Linked DNA regions of Oreochromis niloticus. The protein of the gene in region 1 interacts with the protein of each later gene in a pairwise test. Links are inferred from orthologs where the notes say so. Each region holds a gene or a part of one and is shown on either strand. Other genes may lie near its edges. The genes, in order: klhl12, segment polarity protein dishevelled homolog DVL-3, prr13 and pdgfrb.

Region 1 (7,111 bases):
AGAAACTTTTTAACTCAAGGTACAGCTCTGAACTTACCTTTGAGCTGTAGCAAACACGCTGCAGGGAGCAGCTCTTGTACGTTCTCCACCGTGACGAGCACAGTCTCTGTGTAGACAAAGTCCAACAAGATCTCCATAGTGGATGCCGTGAGCCCCTGAATGTCGACAAAAGATTTCCCCTTTTCTGCAAGCTACAGAGCCACAACAACACATTTATTTGAAGGATTACTTTTGAGAATCATCCTGCATTTTAGGCAAATGTAACACCACCTTAAAACACCCAGAAAGGCCAACAAAGAAAAAAACAGAATAAAAGAGTGCATCAGGAATGTAACTGGGGCATCTATTTTTCAAACATTATTACCTCGCTAGTGAACATGGCACAAAAATAGTCACTGCAGGCAGCCAAGACGATTCGGTGAGCTGGAAAATCAGTGTTCTCCACCCTCAGAGTGATGTCGCAGAGTGTGTTGCTCTTGCGAAGTGAGTTCATTGCATTGAGGATGGATTTGGCATGGGAATTGGTCATGATGTCTTTGGGAGCCATGCTGCTTTGAGAATCCCTTACGGATCTCAAACTACTAAATGAATCTGGAAAAAAGACAGTCTATTTTGAAAACATCCTTTGGGAAGAAAGGTATTCCACAGTAAGCATAAAAGCACGCCACAATGTCACATTTTTATATACTGTACAAGCAAGTCATGCAGCTAGTGAGTGTGTGTGTCTGTCAGTAATTTGTCAGTTGGGTTGAACTGCTGGCTATTCACAAGATAAGTTTGTGACACTTTGTGGGAAATGATAACAGATTTTTGTCACTATTTTACACCCTTTTTACAACATTTTGTAAAAAAAAAAAAAAAACCCAAACCCCTCCCCCCCCAAAACCTAACTGCTAATGAAAATGTACATGAAAAAAACCCCACTTTATATTAACTTTTACATTATATAATACTTACTTTGTATATATATAATTTGTATTGTGTATTATTTCTACATTTTTTTCTTGGCAAGGACAAGAAATAGCATAATTTATTCTGCTTACAGGACAGCAATGGAGAGAAAATACTGACTATCATAGAAGCACTATAGTATTTATAGTGCTGTATTTGCTCGACTTCTTGATTTATTTCTTGCAAACAATGACTTGACTTATTAAGGGGGAAAAAAGCTATCCAATCCTACCTGGCCCTGTGTAAAAACAGAATTGTTACCCTTGTTAAATCATGAATTAACTCCAATTAACCACATTTTTGGAAATCAGAGTTCAATTACACTTGCCACACTTTGGTCTGATTACTACCACACCTACTGAATCAAGAAATCACAAGAATAGAACCTGCCTGACAAAGTAAAGTAGCCCAAAAGTGCTCAAAAACCAACATATCATGCCATGATCAAAACAGATGAGAACCAAAGTCACTGACGTCCATTTCTAAGGCTTTGGGACTCCAGTGAACCACAGTGAGAGCCACTAACCACAAATGAAGAAAAAATTGGAACAGTGGTGAACATTCACCAGAGTGGCCAGCCTACCAAAATTACTCCAAAAGCCCATCGATGACTGATCCAGGAGGCCTTAGGCATGTCTCACATTTGCCAAAGAACATCTAAATAAACCCCAGAACTTTTGAAAAAAAAAATACTCTGAGGACTAAAGTTGAACCTTTGAAAGGTTTGTGTCCTGTTACATCTGATGTAAGACTAACACAGCATTTCACAAAAAGAACATCATGCCAACAGTGAAACACGGTGGTGGTAGTGTGATGGTCTAGGGCTTCTTGCTGTAATTCATGGAACAATGAATTCTGCTCTCTACCAGAAAATCCTGAAGAACAATGTGAAGTCATCAGTTTGTCCCATGGAGCTCAAGCATAACTTGGTGCATAACATGAGTTATGCAGCAGGATCTGAAACACATTAACAAGTCTGCCTCTTAACGGCTCAAAAAAATAAGATTTTGGACCGGCCTAGTCAAATTTTAGACTGAAACCAGATTAAGATGCTTTGGCATGACCTTAAACTGGCCACTCATACTTGAAAACCTTCTAATGTGGCTGTATTAAAATCATTCTGCAAAGAAGAGTGGGTCAGATTTTCTCCACATGTGAAAGACTCATTCCCAGTTATCACAAAGACTTGACTGCGGTTCATCCTTCCAAGGGTGGTATAACAAGTTATCAAGGTTGTAGAGGGCAATTACTTTTGTCCACACAGGGCCGGGTAGGTATGAATATCTTTACTCCCTGAATAAATTAAATCATCATTTAAAAACTGCATTTTGTATTAACTGAGATTACATTTGCCTAATTTTAAAAGTTCTTTGAAGATTTCAAAAATGAAAAAAATAACAACTCAGAAATGGGGGAAATACTTTTCTCATCACTCTACTTCTTGTAGAAAGGTTTAAATGATCAGTTATTTCTATGAATAAATGCAGCATATTTAATAATGCTAGTCAAATAAATATGTGTTTTTTTTCCTTTCCAGACTTTACATTTTTGGAACATTTTTCCACTACAGTCTTGCAAATAAAACTTACCGTTAAAAGATCTGAATACTTTTTCCACCACTGGGAGGCAATAACTATAGCTACACATTAGCTAGCAGCAGCCAACGACAGCTGACGGCTAACGCCAACGCTAACAATAACAACTACGAAAACACAGCAATATAAAGTGAGCTGACGGCCAGAGGAAGACAACACATGGAGCGACACACACACAAAACAACTTATAATAATACCTGTCGCAGCAGTAAAAACGTCTAGCTAAGTTGCTCAGCTAGCTAACGTTAGTAGCACCAAAGTCCCCCTGTCCCAGTTCTTTGCTCCCAGTCGCACTGCCTAAACAAAGCCCCTCAACTACAGCTACTCCATGACGACCTCTGCCGGGTCACTCTATGCACGGCCACCGTGAGGACACATATATCGGAACGGCATCATATTAAATCCCGATGGGATTTTTATCCAGCTATAATATCCCGTTGACTAAACTGCAGCAGCAGAGCAGCGACTCCACAGATTGGACGTAAACAGACCATTACGTGAGTGTACGTGCGCGTCCCCCGAGGAGACCGCCCAGACGCGTTTCGCTCCAGAAACAAGATGCCTTCCGCGCATGCCCGCTGGTCGGCCTCAACTGCTGCTGTAGGAATAGTAAAATAGCCGTCTCACTCAAACTAAGTGACAAATCCGGATTTGACGGGGGCTTATAAACCCAAAGTGACACACAGAGAAACGCAGGAGGAATTTTATCTCTTAAAAAAAAAAAAAAATTCTGCTCTCTTTTTTTTGGTCACCCAAGGACGGCAGCTACAGCAGCAGGAGGAGGAGTTAGCGGCGTGTTTCCGCTAAGAGCAGGCCGAGACGGTAATCTATGCAGCCGCACTGAGAATTACAAAACAGCGGCAGACCAGTTGGCAGCTACTGCGAATAGTTTGACTGAAATTTGTTTAATCTTCGGGGACTTTTGGTTGTTCGTATCGGGAGGCTAAACAACGAGAGAGTGAGTGGCAGCTGGACTGTCAGCGATGGAAGCTGAATTTCGGGAAATCGATGAAAACGGCAGCTGGAACGCCATTTATCAGGTAAGAGCTCTTGGCAAATTAAGGTGGAAATAATCAGACCGTAGCTGAAGCTGGTTAGGCCAACGTGTAGCTTATGTAAGGTGAGGTGGTAGCTATAGTTTCTCTGGCTATATCAGTGTGTTGGTGTTTAGTTCAGCGCCTGTTCTTCCTGCTCGGAGTTAACCGATGATTGATGCGTCTGCCCGGGTATAAAGGCAGCAGCTCAACGCTGACTGACGTCATACATTTTTTGGACGTACTAACTTATTTTTAATGATTTGTTCTCAGTTTCGTCTAACATTTCCATTCCGCTGTTAATCGGCAGCTTATTATAATTATTATAAATGTTTGTAATACATTACATAGGGGTATAACACACCTGAAACCGAGTGAAATCGCGATACAAACCTCCAAAATATCGTATCGCGGTTCTATCTCTCCCATACCATGATACACGTAAGGTGTAAAATGCCATAGGTAACAATTCAAATGGAAATGCATCACAATAATGGTAGAAATTTTCCTCTATGAAAAACTTTGCCACATTCTAAAGAAGTTTTAGCCTTTCATAAAAGAGAATTATTAATTTTTGTTGAATGGGGTTTGATTTACTCAAACTTAAATGCATTGTTAAGGGTTTTCAGTGGGGTTAATTTAGAAAAAATAAATTTCTGACAGAACAAATAACCAAAAAAAACCCCAACTGAAACCTGCTTTGAGCCAGGAATCCCCCTCTCCCCAATATACTATTGCATACAGGATTCATTAGTCTGTTATATGTGCCATACAGCTTCTATTTTAATTCTTTAAGACCATATCCTAAAACTTAAAATTAAAAGTACCCCCTGGGAATTTTTTTGTGAGCTAGCAAAAGTACTGTTCAAAACATTTACCAACACATTAAATATTTTCTGTACATTTGTGGTCTACTAAACATGTCAAAGGCATTCACTTCCTCATTTATGATATGAAGTGTACTGTTTAGTTGGGGTTTTTTTCTTTCTTTCTGCGTATAAGAAAATTTGACCTGCTACGCAAACTTCATGTAATCACCCCAAAGGCTCATTTTGAGCCAGGAAATGCTCTTAATGGAGCTAAATTGTTATTCGTAATTCAGTCTTGATCAAACGATCAGACCTGTTGTGGACTTTGGTTTTCTCCCTCGTGTCTTTGTTATTTATCCCTGCTGAAGAAAATTGAATAAACTGAAACTGTGGAACATAAGGTTATGGACTATGATTGGTCATTGAGTCAAATCTCAATCATCTCTCTATTATTTACAAACTTTACAAACATTATGCAGTGGCTGAAGTTAAAACTGTGTTGTTGTTGTTGTTTTTTCACATGGAATCTTCTTTAACTGTTACATAATTCAAATAACATAGAAAAAAACTGTTCAGTAGGCAGGGCTTTGGATTATAAAGCCAGACCAGGTGATGGTCCCTACAAGCCCATAGCTTCCATAGCGGAATGTTTGTGGGTCCAGATGGGCGAAACGCTGTAATAGAGTTCGGCCGTCTTGGGAAACCTTTAAAGCAGCCTCAGATGAACCACAGAGAACTGAAGCTGACCGCAAACTGTTCAGCATTGCCAAAAGCAGATAGGGTGACAGGCCCTAAGTGATCTAGAGTTGGAAACGGCTGCAGTCAACCATTAATAATCTTTCCACAGGTTCACCTACCTATGCCTTGAAACTTTTTGTCCCGCTGTTTAGCTCTCTTGCAGTTATATTGCCTGCAACTGAACTAAACCGCAAGTTTAAACTTTTTAGGAAGAGGTGAAAGCAAAATAGGTGGGCTTGGAACATGTATATCATGAAACAATAAAAACAATGAAAATGAATGTTGTTTCTTGTTTTCATAATTGTTGGAAGTCAGAATTGACATTTAAATTAAACTTTCATTAACCACCCTAAGAAAGCAACCAGCAAATTTCTGGTTTCAGAAATTTGATAACCCCCTCCTCATATTTTAGGGTAGTCTAAATACAAGCTTTTGACAGTGTTAGTATTGAGGCAAATATAATCCTGATTGTTATTGAGATAGCTAGAGGAAATTGTAAAAGGGTCATCAGTGAATGTCATCATTGTTTTGTTTGTTTGTTTGTCTTAAAGAATACAGCAGTCACACTCAGAGCTTTTTAATGTGGAGTGGATGTTGTTTTGTTGTTGTTGTTGTTTTTTTTAAACAAAACGAAAAAAACCCTGCAAAAACACCAAAACTCTGCTTTAATGCTTGTTTTCCTCCTTTTATTCTGTTACAGGAGATTCGGCAGCAGTCGAGTGAATTCCCTTGTAAGGTTGCCAAATCACCTGAAAACAAGAATCGGAATCGATACAGAGACGTTAGCCCGTGTAAGTTTGTCTTTGCTTGCCTCAGTGTGCTGGACCGCAGAGTCTGAAACACTTAAAATATTCCCACAACTCTCAAGGTGTTTTAGCCACTAAAATTACATTTAGGACCTCATTATATACTCGTATACTGGTTTCATTTATCTAGGGCAGATATTTTAAAATGTTTTCATGTAATTAACTAGGGTTTTCAGTGATTTTAAGCATCACAGTTATGCCAGGTTTTTATGCCAAACCTTCTGTAGAACAGATACATTACCTGAAACTTAACCTGCCTCTTAAAGCTAGCACCATGCACACAGAGGTTGGTCACAGGGATATAGTATTTGGGTAACTGTGATAGAAACATTGTCCAAATGCCCCTGAAAGTAGCAGATTTGTTTGTGTCCTGCCTGCCAGCTCTGGTTGCTCAGTTGTCAAACCGCATGTGCTTCAGGATATCTCTGAATCTTGCTCTGCATCTGTGAACTGTGGTTCATTGCAAAACATTAAAGTGAGTGAGTACAAGTGGAAAATTACAATAAAATCAAACACTGTTATGTTTTTAAAAAAAAACAACATGCTCACATTTTCACACAGCTTTCTATTATCTTTGCCACACCAAAGGGGTTATTCGTGTAAGAAACTATGAAAAGTTGTGGAATGGCAAATGTCATGTCATGTCATGTCATGATAGGAACATTTTTCTGATTCAAAATATCACAAAGGCACATATAAATATACAGCTGGGGTGATAATGCGACCTCATTTGAATACTTGAAGGTTAAGTGAATGCCACTGTGGGTCTCTTTGCTTGGTACTCTACCCGCAGTGTTGAAGGGTCTGTAATCTCCTATTTATGTTTAAACATCTGTGGTGAAGTCACAGCATTATGCAGCATTATATAAACACCTAAGCTGTCTGCTGTTTTAGTAGGTACAAGCACTGTAATATCAGTTTGAAGTCAAGTAAAGGTAGTATTGCGCAATAGAAACAGCCTTGCATGACTCTAACTGGCGTGGCATAGTATTTCCAGCTAATTTATTACTGAGTGTCTCAAAAACACCTACACAAGGGGAAGATCAGGGAAAGGGGAAATTAAGTTTTTTTTTTTTTTTTTTTTTCAGCAATGTTTTTAGTATCATCTATTTTTTTAAGCCTTGAAATAAATGGTAAAATAAAAAGCAAAAACAGAAACAAGCATTTCCTCTATTTCC
Region 2 (7,951 bases), on another chromosome or scaffold:
AAATGGACATACTGTAACAGAAATAACATTTGACTGTACGTGGAACATATCAACAGCCCTCAAGAGATAACAAACACTTTGGAGCAAACGCACACAAAGGGGAACTGGCTTTTAAACACATTAAACTAAACCTCTGCGCAGTCTAATGAAAACGACCACAACAAAGAGACGCATTAGGACGAGCACGGTGGAATATACGCTCCAGAATGGAGCAATAACGCCATGTTGATGATGCTCAAATAATTAAAACCACACTGTAGAAATTAAGCGAGTGCTTTAGCCTTTCACATCACGACACAGAGCAGTCTTTCTCTCTGCTTTATTCTCTCCTCCCTGTGAGATTCAATCTTCTTGTTAGATGACCTGCAGTGAGGCCCTTTGTTATGGAGTATTTTCCGGCTATCCTGTGATTTCACTTGCTCTTAATCCAATTTCAATGTCGAGAAGAGAGGAAGGAGGGCCGTGCACGAGCGCCAGATGTCTCGAATGTTGTGGAGACAGGCGTATTATTGCTTAGAGGCTTTAAATAAGAAATTGCATGCAAGTACATGTATGTGCTATATGCGGCAACTAGCCTGTGTGAGGACACGCTAAAAAAAATTGATATTTTACAGTGAAAAAGAAAAGGTTTAGGAAAAGCAGTGTATGTATACTGCTCTGAGGATCGTTATGTGATAATGATATTATTACACAGATGTGCAGTGCCTCCCCCTAAGCTTGAGCATGACTGGGGTAAGTGCCCAACAGATGGTAATCATTGTTACACATTCATGTACGCCACTTAACCACACAAGTTATCGCACACAAGCAAACAGTAAAAAAATAAATAAATAAATACATTTTATTGCAGCGTGTATTTTGGACCTACCCATGACACCACGCGTCCATTGAAGCAGGGCAGCTTAGCATTGTCATCAGATATTTCTTCCTTTACCACCCTGTAAAGAGAACAAGGCTTTGTTTCAGTCAAACATTACCAACACAAAAGCACTCCCTGGGCAATAAAACATGAGGGTGCATTTAGAGGAAGTGGAGCTGGACAATATATTCCACCAACCAGGACGGACGCTGACAACTGGGGACAGTTTTACACATTAAGAATCAATGACAATGTTCAAAATAACCAAATGTTTGACACTACTGGCACACGCACAGAAAACCAGTCCAAAGATGGCTCACTTGTCCATTTCATATATAGAAGTAAGCCTTAATGCATTACAGACTGCTGCAAATACATTAACAAAAGGCATGTGTAAATGTAACCATGTGAATTTCCTGCAAACCCTCCCATTCATTCAGTCCTGCTTGCAAGGATCAGATGGCAGGCAGATCTTAACAACACCTTGTTACACAATGAAGAGGACAAATAAGGCATGTATTTAACAAGTGCCTCAGAGTATTGGAGATGTCAAGATTAGCCGGGTCTTTGACAGGGAGAACACTGATGGTCAGTGAGGCTTTCCTGGTAAAGATCTCAGGCTCCAAACCAGTCTAACAAGTTACTAAAACACCATCAGTCTAGACTTTAAGGATTCAGCAGCTAATTTAGTGCATGCACCTCCACTCTTGAAACAACACAAATAGCTGCGGATCCTTTCAAAACTCGTCCTTCCTATCTAGGTTGTTGCCCCACCCTTGTTTGAGTTTAGCCAGAAAAACTTTGGCAACCTGGCTCGAGTGTTTAAAAAAAAAAAAAAAAAAGTACATTTCTCCCTTTTATTTAACTCTGAAGAAGGTAAAGTGTGGAGGATCATAAAACGTCTACTTTTCTGGCCATGTTTTAACACAAAGGGACACGCTCATAAAGCTGCCAGAGTGATGAACAGGGCATTCCTGTGTCCAACTTTGCATTCCTTAGGCTAATAGACAACAACAGCAGGGGCCTTCTGGTCTCACTCACTCACCAAGTGTCCGGTTAGACCCATTCATTAGCCTGCTAGCATAAGCGTTTCATACATTAGGCAGCAACTGACAGCTGTAACGTCAATAACTAGTTAGTAACACTTTTCTGAATTGCTCCTTGTTTCATTTAGTCTTCAATAAGTTGAAATGCGATTAAAGGCTTTCTTTTAGTGTTCATGACACTGGAAATGACCAAACTTGGTAAGACAGTACAGCATAAGCTAAGCACGAGCAATGTAAACAAACGGGGTCGGGACGCTGAACAGACCTGCTAACGATGCGACCTGGACGCTAGCAGCTAACAAAGGAACAGCAAAGCAAACGGCTAGCTGATGACTGAAAGACAGGCAACCTTAAAAGTGATGACAAGCCAGCTCCACGAGGTAACAAATATGTTACAGTTAATCTGACTGGACTGAGGTTAAGCAGACTCGGGTTGCTATGCTGATTCCACGTTAAACACAATGAACCCTTTAACAGTTACCCGAAGTCATCGTCCATAGATTTGAAGAAGAATTTGTAATTTGGTTTCTTGAGGACATTTTTGAAGTCTGCCAGCGTGACTTTGTCCGCCGGCACCGACAGTTTCACCAGATATGGTGTCTCCTGGTCGTCGAGGTGGTAGATAATTTTGGTCTCCCCCATCTCGGACTGCGGATAAGGCAAGGCAGACTGGGTGCATCAAGCCAAGGGCCTGGCAGGCTCCCTCTCGGGCCCCGACTCCCCGTGGCGCTGGCGGCTGCGGCTGTGCCGTGGTCCACCCGACTCTCTCTGGCTGACCGACCCGTTCCGTAGTGCCCGGTTCTGCCTTTTTTTTCCCCTTTCTTTTTTCTTTACGGCAGCTTGCTAACGTTACGTCTGACTCTCTATTAAAAAAACACCTTGCTGTTCCACAAAGCGTCCAAACACCGCCCCAGGACTGAATTGCTTTAGTTTCCGTTTGTGTAAAACCTACAATATATCACAAAAACCTTACAAATAAGTGAGAAAAACAGTTTCAAAACGGCGCAAAAATAAACAATCTCAGAAGGGTCCGTACTCCCTTCTCGCTAGCTGCTCGGCTTTACTTTGTTGCACACGAAACTGCATAAAATCGTCCAAGCCTGTCTCGGAGGAGCGCCCTCCGCAGGTGAGGAGGAGAGTGACAGCTTTTCGAGGACAGCTGGGGCACTTTAACTGCTCCCATACTGCTCTGGCAAGGCCATTAAACGGCCTTTAAGCAGTTTTGAAGCCCCACAGACCACCCACAATTATATGATGTTATACTTACACAGAGCTTCAATATGTTTATACTCAAAAGTTTCCAATTTACAGCTGAAACCTTTAGATGGATTGCAAAGAATAAGACCATCATTGTCAGTCATCATTTTACTCTCTTAGAATTTGGATCTTAATCACTCTGAAATTAAAAATTTCAGCTGTGACACAAAAGACAAATGGAAAATTCCCCTTTGCATTTTAAATCTGGAAGGAGGGGGTTGGGGGAATGTAGGCCCTCCCATCATACAGCAGAGAATTGGCATGGAGGGAGAGGTTTTGAAATCAAACGACATTTTTATTTGTGTATGAATTTTGCTGACCCCTTGTAATTGCTATCATAGCTCACTCAGACTGAGAAGAAGTCCAATCAGAGTGATTGAAAGGCAGTAATATTTCAATTTTGTTATCAAGATTATTTGTTTTTCCCACATCAGCAGGTCAAAGAACTTAATTTATGACTGTGGATCATGGTTAACATTCTTCAGTTTATTATATGGCCATTGTTCACACTTTAGACATGTTTTATAGCACATGAAATAGCAGACAGGTGTTACCGACATTAATGCCGGTTATGCTGTATTTAAGCACAAAGCCGTAATTAATGTGGTTATTAACATCTGTGTTTACCTGCTATTTCAGATAAAAATGTGTCTTATTACTCTGAGGTGTGCAGTGAGATTTTACACACAAACACATCTACACTTTTAGATAGCATACATCTGGCTGAAGGATAACATACTTTTATAGTCCTTTCTTTACAGATAATAGCATTTTAATAGAACAAATGCTGTAAATTACATCTTTATAAGTGTAACCATCAAAATATTCCATCTTTACTTTTGCTATTTATCAAAATGTCATAAAAAACAAAGCAAGATATCAAGTATCAAACACTGCCTTTTAAAAACTGAATTATGAACGCAGAAAAGCACAATGTGGAAAGTGTCTAATTGGCAACAGATGACTCTTTTAGCATGACAATCACAAACACACTGTCAATGCAGTTAAAGCAACACAACAGTTTAAAAAGTCTGAAGCTACAGTTAAAGTAGTACAAGATAAAAGTACTCTTTATGGAGAATAAATGATATCTTTTCATACTAATATTGCACTTTGTGCATGTGGAGTAAGTGTTAACTGCTTTCTGTGATGCTAGTTATTGTATCAATACTCAGAAAAGAACCTAAAAGAATGCACTTAAGTGCACTGCAGTAAAAGTGTTTTTGTTTTGTTTTTTTAACATGTTTACGAGCATAAAGTAGTTTAACCTGTTCAAAACAGTTAGAAGATGCACAATGGGCCTTTCTCATACAGAGAGTAACAACTTGAATCTTAGTAAAGGCTGCATGTTAGTCATGTCTGACTTACTGCCACACCTACATGGTGCAACAGAGACACTGTTAATGTTAATTACACAAATGCTGCTGCTGCCAAAAGATGTTTGTAGGTTTTCCTGTTTGTTTTTGACAATTACAAGACTTGCATCACTGGAATTTTTCAAATAATTATGCATTATTATGCTGTTTATTATGCAGTGATGCATGTGTGTCTGTCTAATTTATACAGCTGGCAGTAGAATGGGAGGATGGCATGGCTCAGGCCAGCGAGAGGAAGAGGCTATGACATCCTAAGTTGAAAGCGGAGGTGGAACAGTGAGGTTGGAGAGCAATAGTTTGCACAGTGGAGATTAACAGTGGTTATGTTTCTGTTACTGTACTGGAGCAACTGTAACCCACATAATTTCCTTAGGGATTAATAAAGTATACTGATTCTGATTGTGCTATAACCACCCAAACTCCTTAAAAAGTTAGAGATGTGTGGCCAAGCCGTACACCACACCATCTCAGGAATTGCTCAGTGCTGCAGTAAGTGGCTGTAGATGAGGAGCAAAGACCCCAGCTGGACCCTGACACACTCGATGCTGCTGAGGAACTTATTATTGCTTCATTATTAAAAGCTGCATTTGTTAATTTTTGCGATAACTATCAAGATTAAGACGCTCTTTAGTCAAATGTGAATATGTACAGAAACCAGTTTATTGGACTTAATGAATGTTCACTTGCCACAACAGAAAAAAAAAGCAAAGCAAAAAGCAAAGAGTAATAAAATACAGCCCAGTGGACAGTTTTTCTGAAATTCTCAAACAATAAATGGTTTACAAAATGAGGGAGTCTGTCTACCTTTCTTCTGAGGATAAAACATCACTGATATCATGATCTGCCACTCAAACACTGCAGTAGGCGGATATGACAATATAACATTTTTACGGACAAATACAAAAGAAAAAAAAAGTGGGGAAAAGGGATTTGGTCTCTTTTTCTTTTAAATATGCTCTATAGAGTGCTTGGGAGCAGACTGTTGGCAGGTCTCAATCAATCGTCGAGAAAGTCATCATCAAGGTTAACATCTGTGGTGTCAATGTCATCCAGCTCCATGTTGTCCAGGTCCACCTCGAGCTCATCCAGAGTCTAGGACGGAGAGACACAAACAAAAAGGAAAATCCTTTTTTAAACAATGTTCCATTTATTTGCTTTTACTTCATCAACTAAGAACAGTATGTGCTAAAAGTTGTTTTGTATGAATAAAACCTAAGTCATCACTTCCACACTAGAAGAAGGACTGACAGCATAATAAATCAAAAATAAAGAGCAGAAGTCTTTACCTTATCTTTCTGTGAGAAATCATAGATTTCAGTCTCTTTCTCTTTCTCCACTGCTGCAGGAGGAGCAGGCTCAGGCTGTAAAGGTGTCACCGCAGCAACGGGAGCTGCTGCCTCCTCTTCATCTTGTGTCTGCCAAAAAAAGTGAGTTAAATAAGGGAATTTTAAATTGTACTTGGCACTAATTTCTCTAGCTTTTATTCATTCTTACACCCGACAGAAGCTACAGAACAATGAACAGTAATCAGGTTAATACAAAAGGTACTGAGATATTGATACTGTATGCAAACCTTAGAGACAGGAGGTAGGAAGGTTCCTTTGGGCTCGTATCCTTGGGCCTCTTCAAGAATGTTTCTGTCTTCATTGGGCTGAAAATGTCAGATACAAATTCAGAAGTGCTGCCATATTAGCGATAACACAGATAATTTACCTCAAAACTAAGCATCTTTTTTACTTAAGTCATCATGGACTTTCAGTGAGTACTTTAATGACCGTCTCCTCACTGCATAATTTAAGTATTTTGACCAAAGTCATTCAGCTTACTGTAACAAGTGGATAGTCTTTAGCAGGCCTGGTGGTGCCCAAGCAGGTTTCTCTCAGGTAGTGTTCAGCTGCAAAGGCTTCTTTCAGCCCGGGGAACAGATTCTCATACTCTGTAGGGTCTGCTAGGGATTCAGCCGCCTACAATGAAGATGCAGGTCATGACCAAGAACAGATATCTAGACTGATGCTGATTGAGTTTAACAGCTAAAACAAAAATCTCAAGGACGTAACTAACCTTCTGGTTGACCTTGGCCAGATTCTCCCTCCATAATTTGACCACACGGGACACCTGGCTGGGTAGGTAAGTGCGAGCCAGGAAGGCAGCTTCAGGTAGTCTGTTTGTTCTGATCAGAAGCTCCAAACACTGATCCAGTCTGTGAAGAAAGCACAGCAGCAAGGCATGAATGACCCTGGTAGCCTCATTTTCAGTGTGAACAACACGATTCTATTACACAATTCGCCCCTGCAGGCTCATACATCTCACACTTACTTTCCCTGAAGGAAGTAGGTCATGAAGGCTACATTGTTTTTGCCGTCCCTTTCTGCCCCTTCAGCCAGCTTGCCCACCATGACAGCATTACCGGAGGCTGTAGCGAGGAGGAGCAGGCCACCATAATCCTGGGCATGGTGCAGGCACTCTTGGGCCAGGCCAAACTGGCACTTACTAATAGCCAGCTCTGCTAGCTGCTTCCACTTCTGCTCTGACTGTAGAGAACAGAGTAAAAAATATCAGAAATGTACTGGACAGAAAACCTGATCCATCGTGACATCAAATTACATTTATGGTCAAGCCTTTGATACAGAGTTTGCGTTTGCTTCTGTGTCCTTACTTCTGCTTCTACAGCCAGCTGGTAAGCAATCTTCAACTCTCCCAGCTGCAAGGCTAACTCAAACCTGTGCTCAGGGTCTGTGGACACTGCCAGGGCCTGCTGCTTGAAACCCTGATGAGCCAAAGAAATTGAAGCCTTAAGCATACTTACAACTCAAAAGACAACCATTAAAATAACCTCTAATAGACCAGATTTCTACAGCTTATGTTTAAAGTCCAGTTGTATTTGAAGATGAATGAATCGCCTTTGCTAACCTGTTTCTCCAGGAAGTGTGCCACCCTGGTCCTCTGCTCTTTAGGGATAGTGGGTAGCACCTTGTCAGCCATTCCAAAGTCCCGCCTCATTACAGCAGTCTGGTACTCCAGGACGGAGACCAGCAGGGAGTAGCTGACGATATTGAGCTCCTTGTCTCCCAGATACAGACGGTCATCTTTAGGTATGTAACCCAGTAGGTACATGGTCCTGCAGAAAAGGAAGTAGGTGTGAAAAAGCACCAAGGCTAATTTTAGAGGCTGCTTATTCTTTTTGTAGATTACATATTTACTGTAATAATCTGCGGAGTTTCCGCATTGCTGGACTGTGTTTCTAATAAAGTTGGGAGGGCAATTCTATTCAACTCGAGCCTAAATAGTCTGTATTCTTACCTGTCCAAGTGTGCAATTGTGACAATCTCTCCTCCAACGTAATAGTTGAGTCTGTTTACAGAGCTGGTGTAGATGAAGCAGTCTCCAACCCAGAGCCCAGTCTTGACAATCTC
Region 3 (7,260 bases), on another chromosome or scaffold:
AACTCTGCCTCCTGTCTACCAGACATCATTGCAGGAAACCTTTCTATTTGCCCTTGCTGTTATCCTTCTGGGACAAATCATCCCTGACATTGGTCTCCACCCACTCCACCCTCCCTGCACTCTCTTCACTCTGGATGGTTGACACCAGGTATTTAAATTCACTACCTCTGCTCCTTGTATCTTCACTATTAAACCTGTCTCCTTAGTGAGCATGACATTTATTACAATTTCTTTCTTTCTTTTTTTCTTAAAAAAAAAAAAAAAAAAAAAAATCTCGATTTTTCTCAGCAATGTTAAACACACCAAATACTTTTTATGTAACTCCATTTATTAATACAATTTATTTATTTAACTTTAAAATGAATGATATTAACAAGCAACAGTTCTGCAGCCATGCACAGTAGTGATCATAAAATAAAAAAAATTAAAAAAAACAATTATAGACAGTATACCTTTACTTAATTAACTATATTTTCTATATCCCTTTTAACTTAATTACATTAAGAAAATCATCTGCACAGTGCTGCAGTCTCTTTTTCAGTTATCTACATGTTTGTCATTGTAATATTAGAGAATAGTAACAGTAGATAAATTGCAACATTTCACCTAAAAATCACAAACCAAAGTTAAATTCAACATGAGGTGGTATCCCAGTGCTGATTAAAGTTCTCTCTCTCTCACACACACACACACACACACACACACAAAGAGCTGCTGTATGCATTTCTAGTGTCATACATATATAGTGACCATGTGAGATTTGCTGTGACTCAGCAAAAATCTGCAAAAGGCTATAAGAACTGCTTTAATGCATTGACAGTTAACTGTTAACAGTTAATAGTTGCGCTGTGCTGTTGTTACACAGCTTTTATGTGAAAGCCATGCTTCAAACCAGTCGCCTCAGTCTGAGTCGCTGCTGCTGCTGCTGCTGCTGCTGCTGGAGGACTGTGAAGACAGAGACAGGAAATTATACATCTATCAATAATTTTAAAACAGTTAAAATATAGATTTAAAATTATAAACAATGTCTGATCTGCTTAAGCCATCTTCAACAGTGAACAAAGAAAGACACAGTTTTAAAAGTCACCATCTTTGAAAACTGTTTGCTCTTTTCACTTAAAACTGGAAAATTAAACCATAAACTCTGACATTCTAAATTTAAACCCAGTCTCACCTTGCCATGTTTGTAGTGCTTATGTTTGTGTGCCTTTTTCATCTTCTTGTGCATCTTTTTGTTTGCTTTGTGCCCCATTAGCCCCATTCCCATTCCTGCAACTCCCCCGGCTAAGGCTCCAGACATGGGATTTAGCCCTCCATGATGAGGATGAGGATGATGATGACCTTTGTATTTGCCGCCTTTGGGGGAGTGTGGATATGGACCTGGGTGAACACCTGCAGGAGGAACAACTGGATATCCACCTGGAGCCATAGGATAAGGGTGAAGTCCAGGAGCTCCGTAAGGCATCGCCCCTGGTGCACCGTGTGGTCCCATGGCTGGATTCATAGGAGCTGGGAACTGGCCAGCAGAGTATGGTGGAGGTGGAGGCTGGGGGAAGGCTCCTGGAGGAGGGGCAGCAGGATAACCAGTATTGTAGCCAGGAGGAAAGGCTGGGTTTGGTGGACCGACTGGTGGAGGAGGACCTGATACAAGTAAAAGCGCACATCCATCTTACACACTGTATGCTTCAAAACACCTAAGCTTTTAAGCAATTATAGACACACATAATAAAACATCATAATTAAATGGTAATCATGTTTGATGTCCTACCTTGATTTGGCCACATGGTTTATATATATTGAACTAACTGAAAAATCCTAGAGGAAAGAGAAAGGAAATGCAGTTTAAACATATTGGATTAATTAAAAATGACACTGTAAATATATCACTCAGTATATCTTGATTGAATTCTTGATTCTACCCAAATTAAACAAACAACAGTTAACATTTAATCAGTGGCTTCTTCATTTTTCCAGATCAAAACCAGATATTCACTTTACAAAGACACAACAAAGGGAAAAGCAGTCGGTGCTTACACTCAACAACAATGAGAAATATCTGGTGGGGGATTTTTTTGGTTGTTTTTTGCTTTTAGTAACCATGTTGACAAAGAGACATCAGAGCCAGAGGCAGTTACTCACCTGATCACCTTTAGCTGTCACGGTTTCTCATTTCACAATTTGTGTTTGGTGTACACACAGATGCACAAAGTAAGCCGTTTAATGCGAACACCTAAATAAAACTAAACCGTAGTAAACCCCTCCAATTAATCCTCTCTTTATGAAGGTCGTGATATCTGTCATCTGTTAGTTTGTTTTTAAGTGTTTACCGTGGAAACGGTTACATTTTGTAGCACTTCAGTACAGAACACGGCTCATCGCTGCTATAAACCTTAATACAACACACATCAAAGGCTTAAATGCCGCATGTATACGCTTACAGAAGAAGACCTGACAAAACATGAAGTCTGAACATGAAGTCATAATTGCTCAACAGCTTGTAAATCCGCAACACTTTCTCCATGTTTCTCCACACAGCAAGTTCAGCACACTCAGTCAGTCGTTATTGTGAGTTTTAGCTGTTTGTCCCAAACGAGTCATTTATAATAACTGCATCAAAATCTAAAGATTTCACAGGTTTTACCTTGGGAACTTACCTCGATTGCAGTGAAGTTTCAGGAATTCCGAAAGAGCAGTTTCGTGTTTGTCTTCCGCACCCAGCTCCCGGAAGGCTTAAAGAAGCACACCAGGAAGCCACGCCCTTTGGGAGGAACGCTGCGGACTTTATTTACGCAATGGCAAGAGTCCATCATACCTGGGAACATGGCTAAAACAGAAAACAATCTGAGTGATCTTTTTTTAATGGGAGGAGTCGGGAGTTGAGGTGTGTGTCGTGACACACATACACACACCTGACTTGACACTATTGTTATTTTCACCTATGACTCATGCCCTCATGGTAGCACATAAAGCCCATGACATCATGGATCAGCACTTGGAAATTGTTCAACAATACACAGATTTCAAAACCTTTTATACAATCAGTTTACAGCAGAAATGATGGCTGCAGTGAATTACATCGTTTAGGTTTACTGTCCAGGAATTGAGTTTTTTATGCTTGTCACCAATGACATCAACACAAGCTCTGTTTAATTCATAAAAGTTTCACAATCAGCTAAAACACATTCTAAGAAATAAACTCTAAAACTGACGCTACATTAAATTTATCCATAAATAATGTTATTATTTATTCGCTATAATCAGTGTGATATTTCAGAATATGATACTTAAAAAGGCCTTTTGCGCATAGGTATGACCTGGGTTGTCTCACTGGAATACCTGAGTAAATATTCAAACATATTACATACATCCAGTTTTTTCAGTATGTGGAGAATCTCTTGACGATGAGTACAGGTTCATAATGTAAAGCCACCTGCAGATGGAGACATTTGAGCATAACTGTGAACGTAAAAATTTACCTTTTTTAGTTATGCTGTACATAAATAAAGCTATCACAGATGCCAAGTGAGATGAGCTTCAGGGCATGATGGCTGGATAAACATCCTTCCACACATGGGCTCCATGGATCTCTTACTGGTGTTTCACTGTTAATCAGCCACAAAATGCAGTTTGGAGAATGTAGGAAGAGAAAAATATCTAGTCTAACTGCATTATTTACCACAAAGCTGAAGGTGAAATCAAAAATAATTTTAGCTATCATTTTGTTATCACAGACAGCAGGAGGTGGGATGAAGCTCTTCGTTTCTGGGGTCGGTTTCCTCAAACTTTAGCTTTCCCGGCTCAAACGTCATGGGTTTTTTTTAACATACAATAAAGAAAAAAACTTAATTTTAGAGGGGAAAAAAGGTCATATAATAACGTCAGCAAATTCGTGCTAATTTAGCCCTCAAAATCACATTAATTTATTTTCGGGCAGCTTTGAACTCAGCGGGCAATTAAAACGAGTAATTGAAGGTGTGTCTGCAGGTGTGCAGGAGCGTAGCTATACCTCACAGGCTAGCAGGGTGCTATCCACAGTCTAGGTTAGCCACACACACAAGAGGCGACAAAGAGGCCAATAAATTAGGATTTGGTTACCTGTTTGTTCAGATAAACGTATCCTACACAGTTTTATAATGTTTTGAGGCTAATTTTGGTGATTTATCTGTAGGACACGGTTTTAAGGATGAATTCGCTCACAAAGGAGCTAGCTGATGTTTTTTGGGAGGACTGTGAAAATGATGTGACATTTTACGGCTTTACCGACACTGAACTCAAAGATGAGGTAAGATTTTGTTTGGTTTTAGACCTTTAAAGCTTCATATATCCATACTGCGGTGACCAGAAAGCCAAGTACTAACTTGGACTGGTTGTTTATGTGGGACACATTAGGCTGACAGGTGGGTTAAATTGTTTATATACTGTCGGACATTTAAAAAGGGAAAAAAAAGCACCAGCTCTACAAGCTAATGTGTTTTATTTGAAGACGATTTTCACCACTTATTCTGAGCATCAATTGATGCTAACCTCCTTTTTTTATGATCTAATAAATCTGTGTTCTCTTTTTCTTTTGTAATGATTCTTAAAGCTGTAAATATGTGTGGATTTTCTCTGGCAATAATTATAATTGGCATGTATTTTGGTTGTTTCACGATAAAGTGTTGCCAAATCCAGTAATTTTACTCTGCATTCATTCAGACAGACCACTAATGTAAAGGGATTTGGCCAAAAGATCTGTTATTCTGTGTTGATATTCAGCAGAATTGCAGTTTTGGAGATGAAGATGAAGCTCAAGCTCAGCTGGACATTTTCCCCAAGGAAGAGGAAACTAAATCTAAAGCATCTGCTACTTCTACAGTCCAGCCCTTCAGGCTGAGGGTGGCTCTGCGCTCAGCTCCCTCTACCCAGCAGTCTACGGACGATGAGGATGCAGAGGCGGAGGAGAGGACGACATACAAGAAAGGAGTCAAAAGGACAGGACAGCGCAATAGGACAAAGAAGGAGAGACACGTGAAATTTGAAGATGGCGAGGCAGCAGCGGCTCGGCCTGCTTCCACTGAGGACCGAGGTTCTGATTCAGCAGATGATGCGTCGGACACTTTCCTGGCCAGAAGAGAGCAGAACATTAAAGCCAACAAAGCCATGGTAAATCATACACAGAACCACATACCGAGTTTAAAATGTGACAAACTGATGTGAAAACAAACAAATGTGGTCTCAGGGACTAGTGCTGAGAGGACTAAGCCTTCAGGAAATGTGTGAATAGTACAATAATGCTTTCAAGTGCTGACCTTCTACAGTGATTCATGTTGCTCATCTTTAACAGTTGGCTCAGCTGATGGCAGACCTGCAGAAAATGCCAGGAGGTGCAGGGCTGCTGAAGAAACAAGCAGGCAAACAGAAGGCAAAAGACAGAAGCTCTGTGAGTGTCGTGAAAAATGAAGGGATTTTCAGCTAACAGCACATCTTTTTCAGTAGATCTCTGAATTTTTTTTAATTTCTTGATGGATCATATCTCCTGCAGCATCCGCCACGATCTGCTGCGACTGGAGGAGAATCCAGGAGAAACCCAGAGCGGGCGTCTCGCAGGCTGACAAGGTCCATGTCGGGAACGGAGGATCCTTTGGCTGCTGAGGAGGCAGAAGTGGAGCTCAGCTTGGAGGAGGAGCTGCTGGAGGTCAGTTCTGTCACTTATCAGCAGCCAGTTAAAGTCTACAAGGCCTTTGGAGTATTTGTTCAATATAGTACAGTAATATACATATTTACATGTGATTTATTTATTTATTGGTTTAGCTTTGAAGTAGATGGCAGTCAAGAAAATCTAATAAAAATTAGTGTTCAGAATCGTGCATATGCTTTCCTTAGAGAACCAGAGTGATAAGGAGTGTGGCAGTGAGTGAAAGCCATCATTTTATTCTGCTCTATTCTCTAATCTGTTTCTTGCCCCTATCCATGTAAAACTTGAAGCTAAGTGGATTATTCTTCTCATCATGTGTTTCAGGTACGCCAAGCTCCACGGCGTCGTGGCGTCCCACGAGGTAATCGAAGCAAACCTCACATTATTCGTCCGGTAGAAGAAATCACAGAAGATGATCTCGAGTTGGTCGCAGACAACATGACCGAGAAAGTCTACAACAGTGTCACCGTGAGTTTACTGCTGGTATTATTCAAACCCCGTTAACACTCAGTGTTACCAGGTGATCAGGATACATGGTTGGATGATGACTTCTGAGATAAACACTCTTTTTAATTCTGTACACATTGCTTTCAAATAGTAATAAACCGATTCTTCAGGCTTTCGTGGCAAGCTTGTCTGTGTCCTAAGGTCAAGAGAACATCTGACATTTATTTTTAAACCCCTTTTTATGAGTGTACATTTGTGACCTCCACCTTCTGGTTGGTGCTTTTAAGTGGGATTCATGATGATGCGATTGCCTTTATCTTTGGCTGCGTAAAGTGAAGTATTTTCTATATGCAGCCAGTGTTTTTGTACATAGCCTGAAAGAGATTAAGCTTTCTGTAGGTCAAGTGTTGATTGACTGAAAAGGTAAGGGAGCGACAGTAGAGTTCACCACAGGAAGAAATGCCAAAACCATGCCATTCCCTTTAAACTTAATTTAGGCTTCTGCTCTGTAGAGGCTACAACGAAGCCTGCACAAGCATCCAACACTGTTCCCATGTTTATGCCTGTGCAGCTGTGTTTCCATGACGTGTGGTTACATTTGTAGAGAGGTGCACAGCAGGTGACGGTGCAGCTTACACAGAAGGGTTTGAGGTTACGGTTTACCTAAGGTGTTGATTTACCAGAGACAGATAAATCCACTTTAGCCTGGTGGCATAAGGTAACCTAGCTTGGTATGCTTTTTCTTTTTTCCCTTTTTCTCCACCTAATAATGATAACACTGCAGACTGCATAAACACCCAAGAACTGAGGGTTGTTCTATGAATCAAGATTAACGGCTTAGTCAGCTATGTCAAGCTAGACTTTTATGTACCATGAAAGTGTACCTGGTTAAATCACCATGGTCAGGAGCAGATTATTTATGTTCATTAAAGAATCTTAATCACTATTGTATCACATCATCAGATAATGTCTGGAGTAAGCAACACTCGTAGGGGTCGTTTTGTGAAGAGTCATGTGACCTGTGAAATGAACCTTTTATCTGAGTGTGCACAGAACCTGAAGCCGAGAGACAACCGATAAAGATAAACCACCGTCCTGACCTCAGACGAGTGTTTTTAGGTTTATTTGAGCCAGAAAAA
Region 4 (7,551 bases), on another chromosome or scaffold:
GTTAAAGTCCATATTTTAATTATATACATCACAGGAACATTAGAACATGTAGAAAACATAGCTGTAGAAATGGCCTGCTTGCCTTCAGTGGCAGCTATGGCTCTGACCAGATAATACACTTCAGTATCATTATTATGGCAAGTATAAAGAATTTTTTTATTCTCTTAAGCTGTTTAATATACATTTGTAGTCCTTCAGACTACACGGGTTTTTCTCCTATTTGAATTGAAAATGGTTCTCCTTTGTAATTCTTTGTGTTGTGAGCTTGATTAACCAGGAAAACACATGATAAAAATCCTGAAATACCACTCCAGCGTCTTTATTTATAGTCTGCTCTGATGTAAGACCAATAGTCAAGTCAAGTCAAGTTTATTTATAAAGCACATTTAAAAACAACCAAGGCTGACCAAAGTGCTGTACAATAAAATACAAATATAAAATACTATAAAACACAGGTACATAAAATACCTCACTGATAAAACAATAAATTAAAACAATAGGTTAAACCTTGCTAAAAGCCAATGAAAAGAGGTGAGTTTTAAGAGCAGTTTTAAAAGTTCCTAGGCTTGTGGAGAATCTGATGTGAGGGGGTAAACTGTTCCACAGTCTGGGTGCAGCCACAGCAAAAGCCCTCTCTCCCCTAGTCTTTAATCTGTACCTGGGAACATCTAAAAGCATCAAGTCTGCTGACCTCAAAGATCTCCTGGGGCAGTAAATGCTAAGAAGCTCTGCCAGGTAAGGAGGTGCAGTACCGTTAAGAACCTTAAAAACCAGCAGTAAAATTTTAAAATCAATCCTAACAGCAACTGGGAGCCAGTGGAGAGAGCAGAGGACCGGAGTGACGTGGTCTCTCTTTTTGGAACCGGTCAGCATGCGGGCAGCAGCGTTCTGCACCAGTTGGAGGCGATGCAAACAGGAACGATCTAAACCAGCATAAAGGGAGTTACAGTAGTCCAGCCGTGAAGTAATAAAAGCATGGACCACCCTTTCTAGATCGTTCCTGCACAGGTAGGACTTGACTTTAGCTAAAATCCGTAGGTGATAAAAAGATCCCTTGACTACGGAGCTGATTTATTTGTCAAATTTAAAAGCACTGTCAAAAGTAACACCGAGGCTCTTAATAGGGACACAGGTCAAGCAAAAGCAAAGTTGCTTTGCTCCCTGCTATGTCATGGCTCAAAACATCCATATGAGGGCAGCAAAAAGCTGAGTAATAGCAGATAACCTTCCAGGTTTGGAGTCTTTCAAGTTCAGTCATACAACTGACCTGTTGTTAAAAAGATCCACACAGTTAATTCATCATCATCATTCTCGCTGTTAGCGTTTTATTCTTTCCATCTTCAGCTGACACCGTGCCTTATCCTATATATTGCACTTATCAAGCTCGTGCATGAGCTCATCTATATTGAACTATCATAAAAGATTCATGTCAATATCAAGATAATCATTCTCAGCTACAGTGCCTATCAGCTGTTAGCAGGAAGCTGGCTGATGTTAATGGAAGTGGCCTGAACATTAAGGAAATTGCAACATAAACATGAAAACATATCATCCAACGCTTGAAATACATTGATGGCGACCACAATGCGAACCAGCTTGCCTGAAAATAAACAAATGTGGTTAAAGCACTTATGAGGGTATGTCTTAATGTACAAAGTAAAGTTTGACCTTGATAAACCCTAAACATTTCCATTACTGTATAGTTATAATCCCACATTTAGAGATTTAGTTTAAATCTGTTTGACCTTAAGATGCCTGTTTCCTTTTTTGATCTATTCAAAATTTTCAGCGCTCCAAAAAGAGAGCTGGTTTAGGGAATGTTTTACCCTTTACAGTAGAATCGTGGTTAGTTATATATTTAGTTTAAATTTAAGCCTCTCCCTAAATGCAAAACAGATAGCAAATGCATTGTTGCTCTGTTGTCTGTCCCACTTTGCCTTCTCTTTTTTGACAATGCGTTAGACACCATGCAACAAAATCACACTAAGATGTGAGTGTAGAGAGGGCGCGGATGCAATTTCTCTCATTTCTCCTCCAGTTCAGCATTTAATCTCATTCATTCCCATAACTAGTTCTTGAAGCACCAGATCAAACAAATCGTTCCATTTGAACAGTAGCCCTAAACTAAATATTTGTAAATTGATCACAACATTTGGCAAAGACAAGCAGAAACTCTTTGCACTGGAGAAGCTGGAACCATGGAAGGTTTTCTGTTTTTGGTTTAGTTTTTAAAGTAGTTGCTGAGTCTTACAATAAACTAGTTGATTAATGGATTAACCATTTCAGTGTGGTTGTTAACAATGTTGCTTCACGGAAGGAGGTTCTGGGTTTGAATCCACCACCCAGCTGGGGCCTTTCTGTGTGGAGTTTGTAGGTTTTCCTGTGGTTGCATGGGTTCTCTGTGGGTTCCACAATCTAAAGTCATGCATGTTATGTTAACTGGTGATTCTAAACTGGCCTTAGGTGTGAATGTGAGCTGTCTGTTTCCGTGTCTTAGCGAGTGATAGCATCTTCACCGAGTTGTATGTCGCCTTTTGGTGTATGTTAGCTAGGACAGGCTCCAGAGCCCCTAAGACCCCAAACTGGATAAGGAGAAGAAAGTGGATGGATGTGTGTTTGAGGCGGGGTGTAGTTTGCAGATCAGCTGCAGTGGGGTGGGTGGGGGGGTGGAGTAAAGGGTTCAGGAAATGGCGTAAGGGGAGGTTGACCAATACAGCTAGCCTTCCCCATTTCAGTAGGTTGCTGAGACCTGACAGGAGTTGTTGTGTGTGGTGTGGAGCAACAAAGGCAACTGGAAGCCTGCTCTAATAAAAGCCCTGCAAATAAACATCAGCTCACATGTGATGATGCTGTTATGATGATGTTTTATGTTGTATTGCTTCTTCTTGATTTTTGCTGTTTTCTATTTTGAATGTCTTATTATTGTGGTTCATTTTCAGATTCAGTCCCAGATCACATTGCCGAAATCAAGCTTTAAGGTGCCCCAAAGTCATATATCTATTATCGGGACAACTTAAAATGGAGGCAGCTGTAGTTCAAACATTTCCCTCAGTCTTCATCTATCAGAGGTGCAGCAGGTTCAGCTCCAGGTCTAGACTTTAGTATACATGCTCCCTGCCTCCACAGGTCTTTGTCTCAACTCTTGTACCTCTATAATGGCCTGTGCTTGACAAACACAGCGCTGTAACTTTTACCTTTTCCTGAAACCCAGCAGGAAAACAACCGTAGAGCCTGTTTGCACTGCTTTGCACTCCAGCTATAACACTAATTCAGATCAGCAGTGATAGAAACTTCTTGTTAGCTGCTGACAGGCTGAAGAGACTCAGTATTGTTGAGGCAGAATATTTTGGAATCCCACTTGTTAAGAGCTGCTCCACTCTGTGGGGGTAAACAAGGAGTGCTGCCATATATAGAGCAATAGACATCCCGTTGTGGACTCTCTTCAGCACTGCATTGTATCAAGATGCTAAAATTACATGTGATAATAAAATGAAAAGACCCCCTAAGATTCTAGCATCCTGTTATTATCGGTGAATTTCTGCGGGTGTTTCGACAGAGTTCGTGTCTTATCTCATGCTGATAAAGGATTGTGTGTGCATGAGTGTTTACATACGTGACTGACGAGCACGTTATTGCTGTATTACTGCCTTTTTATCTTTTGGGTCTACAGTTTTATTGACATTACAAGCAATGAAACGCCTACAAATAGATTCAAGAGTTCAAATAAGTGGATTTAGAGCAGGTTTATTGCAAGTAGGTGCTAATTACATAGGCAGAATTAGAAAGATATAAAAGGAGGAACTGTCCCTGTGTGGTGTTCCTCCCCTCCTATCTAATAACTGGAGGGGGCTTTCTGGCACTCTAATTAGTGCGAGCAGGTCTTTTAGATTTGCCCTCTCAATTAGAGGAGAACATGTTAGTTTCCAATTTAGCTCCTGTTCCCCTCCGCCCCCCGTCTGCCCCGACCTGCTTGTTAGATAGAACAGGTCTTTATTCAGCTGCAGTGCTGCGTTCTGAATCTCAGATCATCCTCTCATATCCTGGGAAAGGATTGAAATAGGAAGAAGGCTAGTATTGAGAGCAGACATATTTACATGGTTTTGCTTGTGTTTATAAAAGAGAGGATAAAAGGCCAGGGAAAAAAAGGAGAAAGAAGGGGGTGAGGATGGTGGGAGGTGTTGAGTTATTTCATGCAGGGGAAAAAGAAAACACTTGAAAAAAAATATGATATAAAAAGAGATGTAAAAAACAAAGCTAGTTCACTAAAGTCCCCTTTAACCACTTTTATACCTGTTTTTAAGAGTGTGATTATATAAGGGAAGTTATTTTTCCTGAGAAACTGAGACTTCCATGTTTGTTTCCAAAGCAGGGTGCAATCAGCGCTGCCAAAACCTTTTTTTTTTTCTCCTGGCTGGACCACTCACTCACTCTCTCACTCTTTCTCCTCCTTTTTATTGTGTTTGTTGTTTTATGGAGGGGGTTAGATGCGGTCCAGATTGCCGTTGCCAATAGAGACTGTCTCAGTTCACCTCCACTCCATTCATAAACAAATCGCTCCGGCTCAGACCTCTGAGCCTCTACCTTAGAACAACAAGCAGAACTGGATTTGTATTTTGAAGTTTCGTCACTCTGTTAGAAACTTCTTGCTTTCTGCTTCAGCTCTGTTTCACTGCTCCCTCCCTCCTCTCCCTCGTCCTGCTCTCTCTCAGCTTCAGCAGGGGTGGACACTGACGCTCTGCTTAGTGTGGATCTGTCAGGGGTGGAGTGTGCACAGTTTGTGTGTGCGTGTGTGCATGTTTCTGTGGGGAACTTTTTTTTTTCTTAGAACACTCTTTCTGAGTGTGAGAGTGGAGAGAGAGAGAGAGAGACACCCATGGTGATGTGATTTGACTAAACAAACAGCCGGGCTCACTGCAGTACCTCCTCCAACGGACTCCTGGGACAGCAGAGATTAACCTCAGAGTGAACATCAGAGGGATCTATACATTTGAAGCAGCAGCCCCTGTAGAGACATCTCACTGGAAGTCTCTCCAATTTCCTTCTGCTGGCCGACAACCTTCTTGGTCAAAGAGGAAAGATTCTTCTGTGCTTCTGGGGTTCGTCTGAAGGTAAGAAGCATACTTCTCTGTCACCATCAAGTATTTTAGTATAAGTTACAGCTGCTCCACATCTGCTGGCAGAAGTAAAAAAGGGCCGTGCAAAGTGGGGAACATTCACTTATCCTGTATGGGAAGCCCACTGTGACAGATTGAGTTTCACAGCCATCTGACACAGACGCACCTCATCCTGAACACTGGACCCAAGTTTCGTATAGCTTTTTTAAACAAAAAATCTGATTTGATTTGACAAGAGAACAACCTGTAGGTCTTCGTGATGTTGTTGCTGTCTCTTGCTGGTGTTCGTTACCCACATACTTGTGTGTGTGTGTACACAACAGCCATTGCAACGCTGCGTGAAAGAGCGTAAGCAACCTGTTCAAACATCAACATAGTGATGGCTTGCATCTCTGTACACAGCAACTGTTTGACACTTTCACATTGGACAACTTTAACATTGTTTATTTTCCCACTAACAGAATGCATTTGACAAGGTGTCCCGGGGTCTAGTGTACACACAAACACAGTAGGGTTTATAGTACAAGCTGTTTGTACGCTCTCCACTTTGTGCTTCCCTGCTAAAGGGCTTGTTTGTACAGCCCTCTTCAGTCACCCAGAGTGGCGGTCCTCACCACCAAACCATCGGTCACTTTCCTCCCTTTTCAATCTTCTCTGCATTGATTCATGAAGAAGCTCATTGAAGAGCCATGGCTGTGAACTGATATCAGACCCAGCGTCTATCACTGTCAACAGCATCCTCTTTGGAGGAAACATACCACCTTAAATTTATAGTTTTATGACTCAGTCTCCCTTTTATAATGTAAATATCTCGTAAAATCAATCTGGTCTCATCTCAAGAAGTTGAGAGCCGACATAAACAATCAGTTGAATCATTGCTTCCTGTTCATCAGAAGATTTTAGTAGCTGGAGTGAGTTATATTATAGCACTGTGAGCCATTTCATGGCTGTGACACATGTGGCATACATGTCTTTTCCAACACGTGTTTTGCACCTGAAAGCCTTCCCGCCTGACTGTTGTGTATGGTTGCTTTGGTATTTAAGTTGTTGGGTTGGGTAGCTGCACATCCATCTTCTGCATACAGGGGACCTTTTTGACATGAAACCATTTGAATTAGCATCTGCTGTAATCAAAACGTTGTTGGCATGTGTTTTGTGGATGCTCTTCTCCTCCTCTGCAGACAGGAGTGTCCTTTTGAAGTTTTTGATCTTCTCTGGCTCTGTGGATGTTTCACTCCGGGCACTGTCTGGCATTGTTTTTGTAGATGAACCGCTGGAAGACTGCATGCATGTCATACTTTTACCATCAATGGTGCTAGACTGCATTGCATTCATTTCATAGTTTTAAATTCAGTTTCTACTTTCACAGCACCAACTTATAAAACACTAAATCTGCTGTGACAAATCTTTATTGTAAGATTTGCAAAACTTAGTTTAATTTCGACTCTGACAAGTGGGGATTTTCCTGTCTTGCGTCAGGCTGCTGGTATGTACTCCAGCGGAGTGCTCCTCTCCGGCCCCGATGCAGTGCAGCCCAGCCGGCTCCATTCCCCCTGGCCCAGACCTAATCCGTCGACATCAGCTGTTTCCTGGCTCTCTAGGCTTTCTGCATGCCAGCAGCTTTGAGCAAATGTGCTTCACATTATGACCATGCAGAAAACATGCCAGGAGTCTGATTTAACTCACATGTGCAGATATGTAACATTTTGAGTTCAACAACAACTTTTGAAAAATACTGATCCCATTCTGTCCTCGTTTCATTTATCCTCTGTGATTTCAACTCAAAGTTGAGCAACCCTCATCTGAAAAAACTTGTTTATAGAGGAAACACTGAGTTAAAATACTTACACACTCTCACATCATGTTATCGTGACACGGATTGGTTCATTTTTCAGATTCACAGAACAAACTCTGACTCATCCCCTGGTGGACACTCATTGGCTTACTCATTATCCACCACCAATATTTTTTGAATGAGTTGTTGCTTTTCTTAACACTATCAGTCTAGTGCCTCTTTGTACGTCGCTGGTTCTTTCATACTGTGCTTAGACTTTATACTTGAGTCACACAGTTTTAATGAAAAGCACTAAGTGGTGCTGCAGTAAAGCATCCTGTATGGCTGGCTGTCCATCTGGCCTCCCCCCTCATTGTTTCCCTCCCACTCACACAGAGCTGTCAGGCAGCTGCATCTCATCTTAAGACAGGAAGTGAGTTTGTTCATTGAGGAAACATTCATTTGATTTATTATATATATACTCTCGTCGCACAATAACAAACTTTTAGAAGGGGATAAGCCTAAAATCGCAAAGAAAGGTGTCATAATCACGCAAAGAAAAAGACATTGCAATGTGGATACAGTGCAGAAAATTACTAGAAGACTATTAGGAGACTACTTCCTCATTTAGTACTTCTCTTGTTGTATACTCATTGCATGTAC

Evidence for each region.
Region 2: the proteins of klhl12 (region 1) and segment polarity protein dishevelled homolog DVL-3 interact in binary tests that used the Homo sapiens proteins (3 or more experiments, as listed by UniProt). The two-hybrid records come from large-scale screens. The link is inferred for Oreochromis niloticus from reciprocal best matches to the Homo sapiens genes KLHL12 and DVL3.
Region 3: the proteins of klhl12 (region 1) and prr13 interact in binary tests that used the Homo sapiens proteins (3 or more experiments, as listed by UniProt). The two-hybrid records come from large-scale screens. The link is inferred for Oreochromis niloticus from reciprocal best matches to the Homo sapiens genes KLHL12 and PRR13.
Region 4: the proteins of klhl12 (region 1) and pdgfrb interact in binary tests that used the Homo sapiens proteins (3 or more experiments, as listed by UniProt). The two-hybrid records come from large-scale screens. The link is inferred for Oreochromis niloticus from reciprocal best matches to the Homo sapiens genes KLHL12 and PDGFRB.

Annotation. Positions count from the first base shown.
Region 1 is NC_031984.2:10,042,662-10,049,772, reverse strand, and holds the start of klhl12 (kelch-like protein 12), read right to left. Parts: upstream 3,019-7,111; 5' UTR 2,744-3,018; exon of another isoform or gene 2,651-2,743; 5' UTR 2,599-2,650; coding exon 2,541-2,598; intron 592-2,540; coding exon 365-591; intron 192-364; coding exon 38-191; intron 1-37. Other genes in the region: ptpn1 (tyrosine-protein phosphatase non-receptor type 1), read left to right, coding at 3,530-3,586, 5,828-5,918. UniProt on the Homo sapiens protein: Substrate-specific adapter of a BCR (BTB-CUL3-RBX1) E3 ubiquitin ligase complex that acts as a negative regulator of Wnt signaling pathway and ER-Golgi transport.
Region 2 is NC_031982.2:12,052,850-12,060,800, reverse strand, and holds the start of segment polarity protein dishevelled homolog DVL-3, read right to left. Parts: upstream 3,019-7,951; 5' UTR 2,548-3,018; coding exon 2,387-2,547; intron 939-2,386; coding exon 869-938; intron 1-868. Other genes in the region: copb2 (coatomer subunit beta'), read right to left, coding at 5,535-5,630, 5,825-5,953, 6,112-6,189, 6,365-6,502, 6,600-6,738, 6,855-7,069, 7,195-7,305, 7,449-7,656 and 1 more. UniProt on the Homo sapiens protein: Involved in the signal transduction pathway mediated by multiple Wnt genes.
Region 3 is NC_031970.2:5,714,871-5,722,130, forward strand, and holds prr13 (proline-rich protein 13), read right to left. Parts: upstream 2,791-7,260; 5' UTR 2,655-2,790; exon of another isoform or gene 2,642-2,654; intron 2,560-2,641; exon of another isoform or gene 2,140-2,559; intron 1,816-2,139; 5' UTR 1,785-1,815; coding exon 1,769-1,784; intron 1,642-1,768; coding exon 1,175-1,641; intron 946-1,174; coding exon 901-945; 3' UTR 501-900; downstream 1-500. Other genes in the region: cell division cycle-associated protein 7, read left to right, coding at 3,621-3,689, 4,169-4,282, 4,756-5,142, 5,324-5,419, 5,522-5,674, 5,999-6,142. UniProt on the Homo sapiens protein: Negatively regulates TSP1 expression at the level of transcription. This down-regulation was shown to reduce taxane-induced apoptosis.
Region 4 is NC_031966.2:25,209,530-25,217,080, forward strand, and holds the start of pdgfrb (platelet-derived growth factor receptor beta), read left to right. Parts: upstream 1-4,530; 5' UTR 4,531-5,108; intron 5,109-7,551. UniProt on the Homo sapiens protein: Tyrosine-protein kinase that acts as a cell-surface receptor for homodimeric PDGFB and PDGFD and for heterodimers formed by PDGFA and PDGFB, and plays an essential role in the regulation of embryonic development, cell proliferation, survival, differentiation, chemotaxis and migration.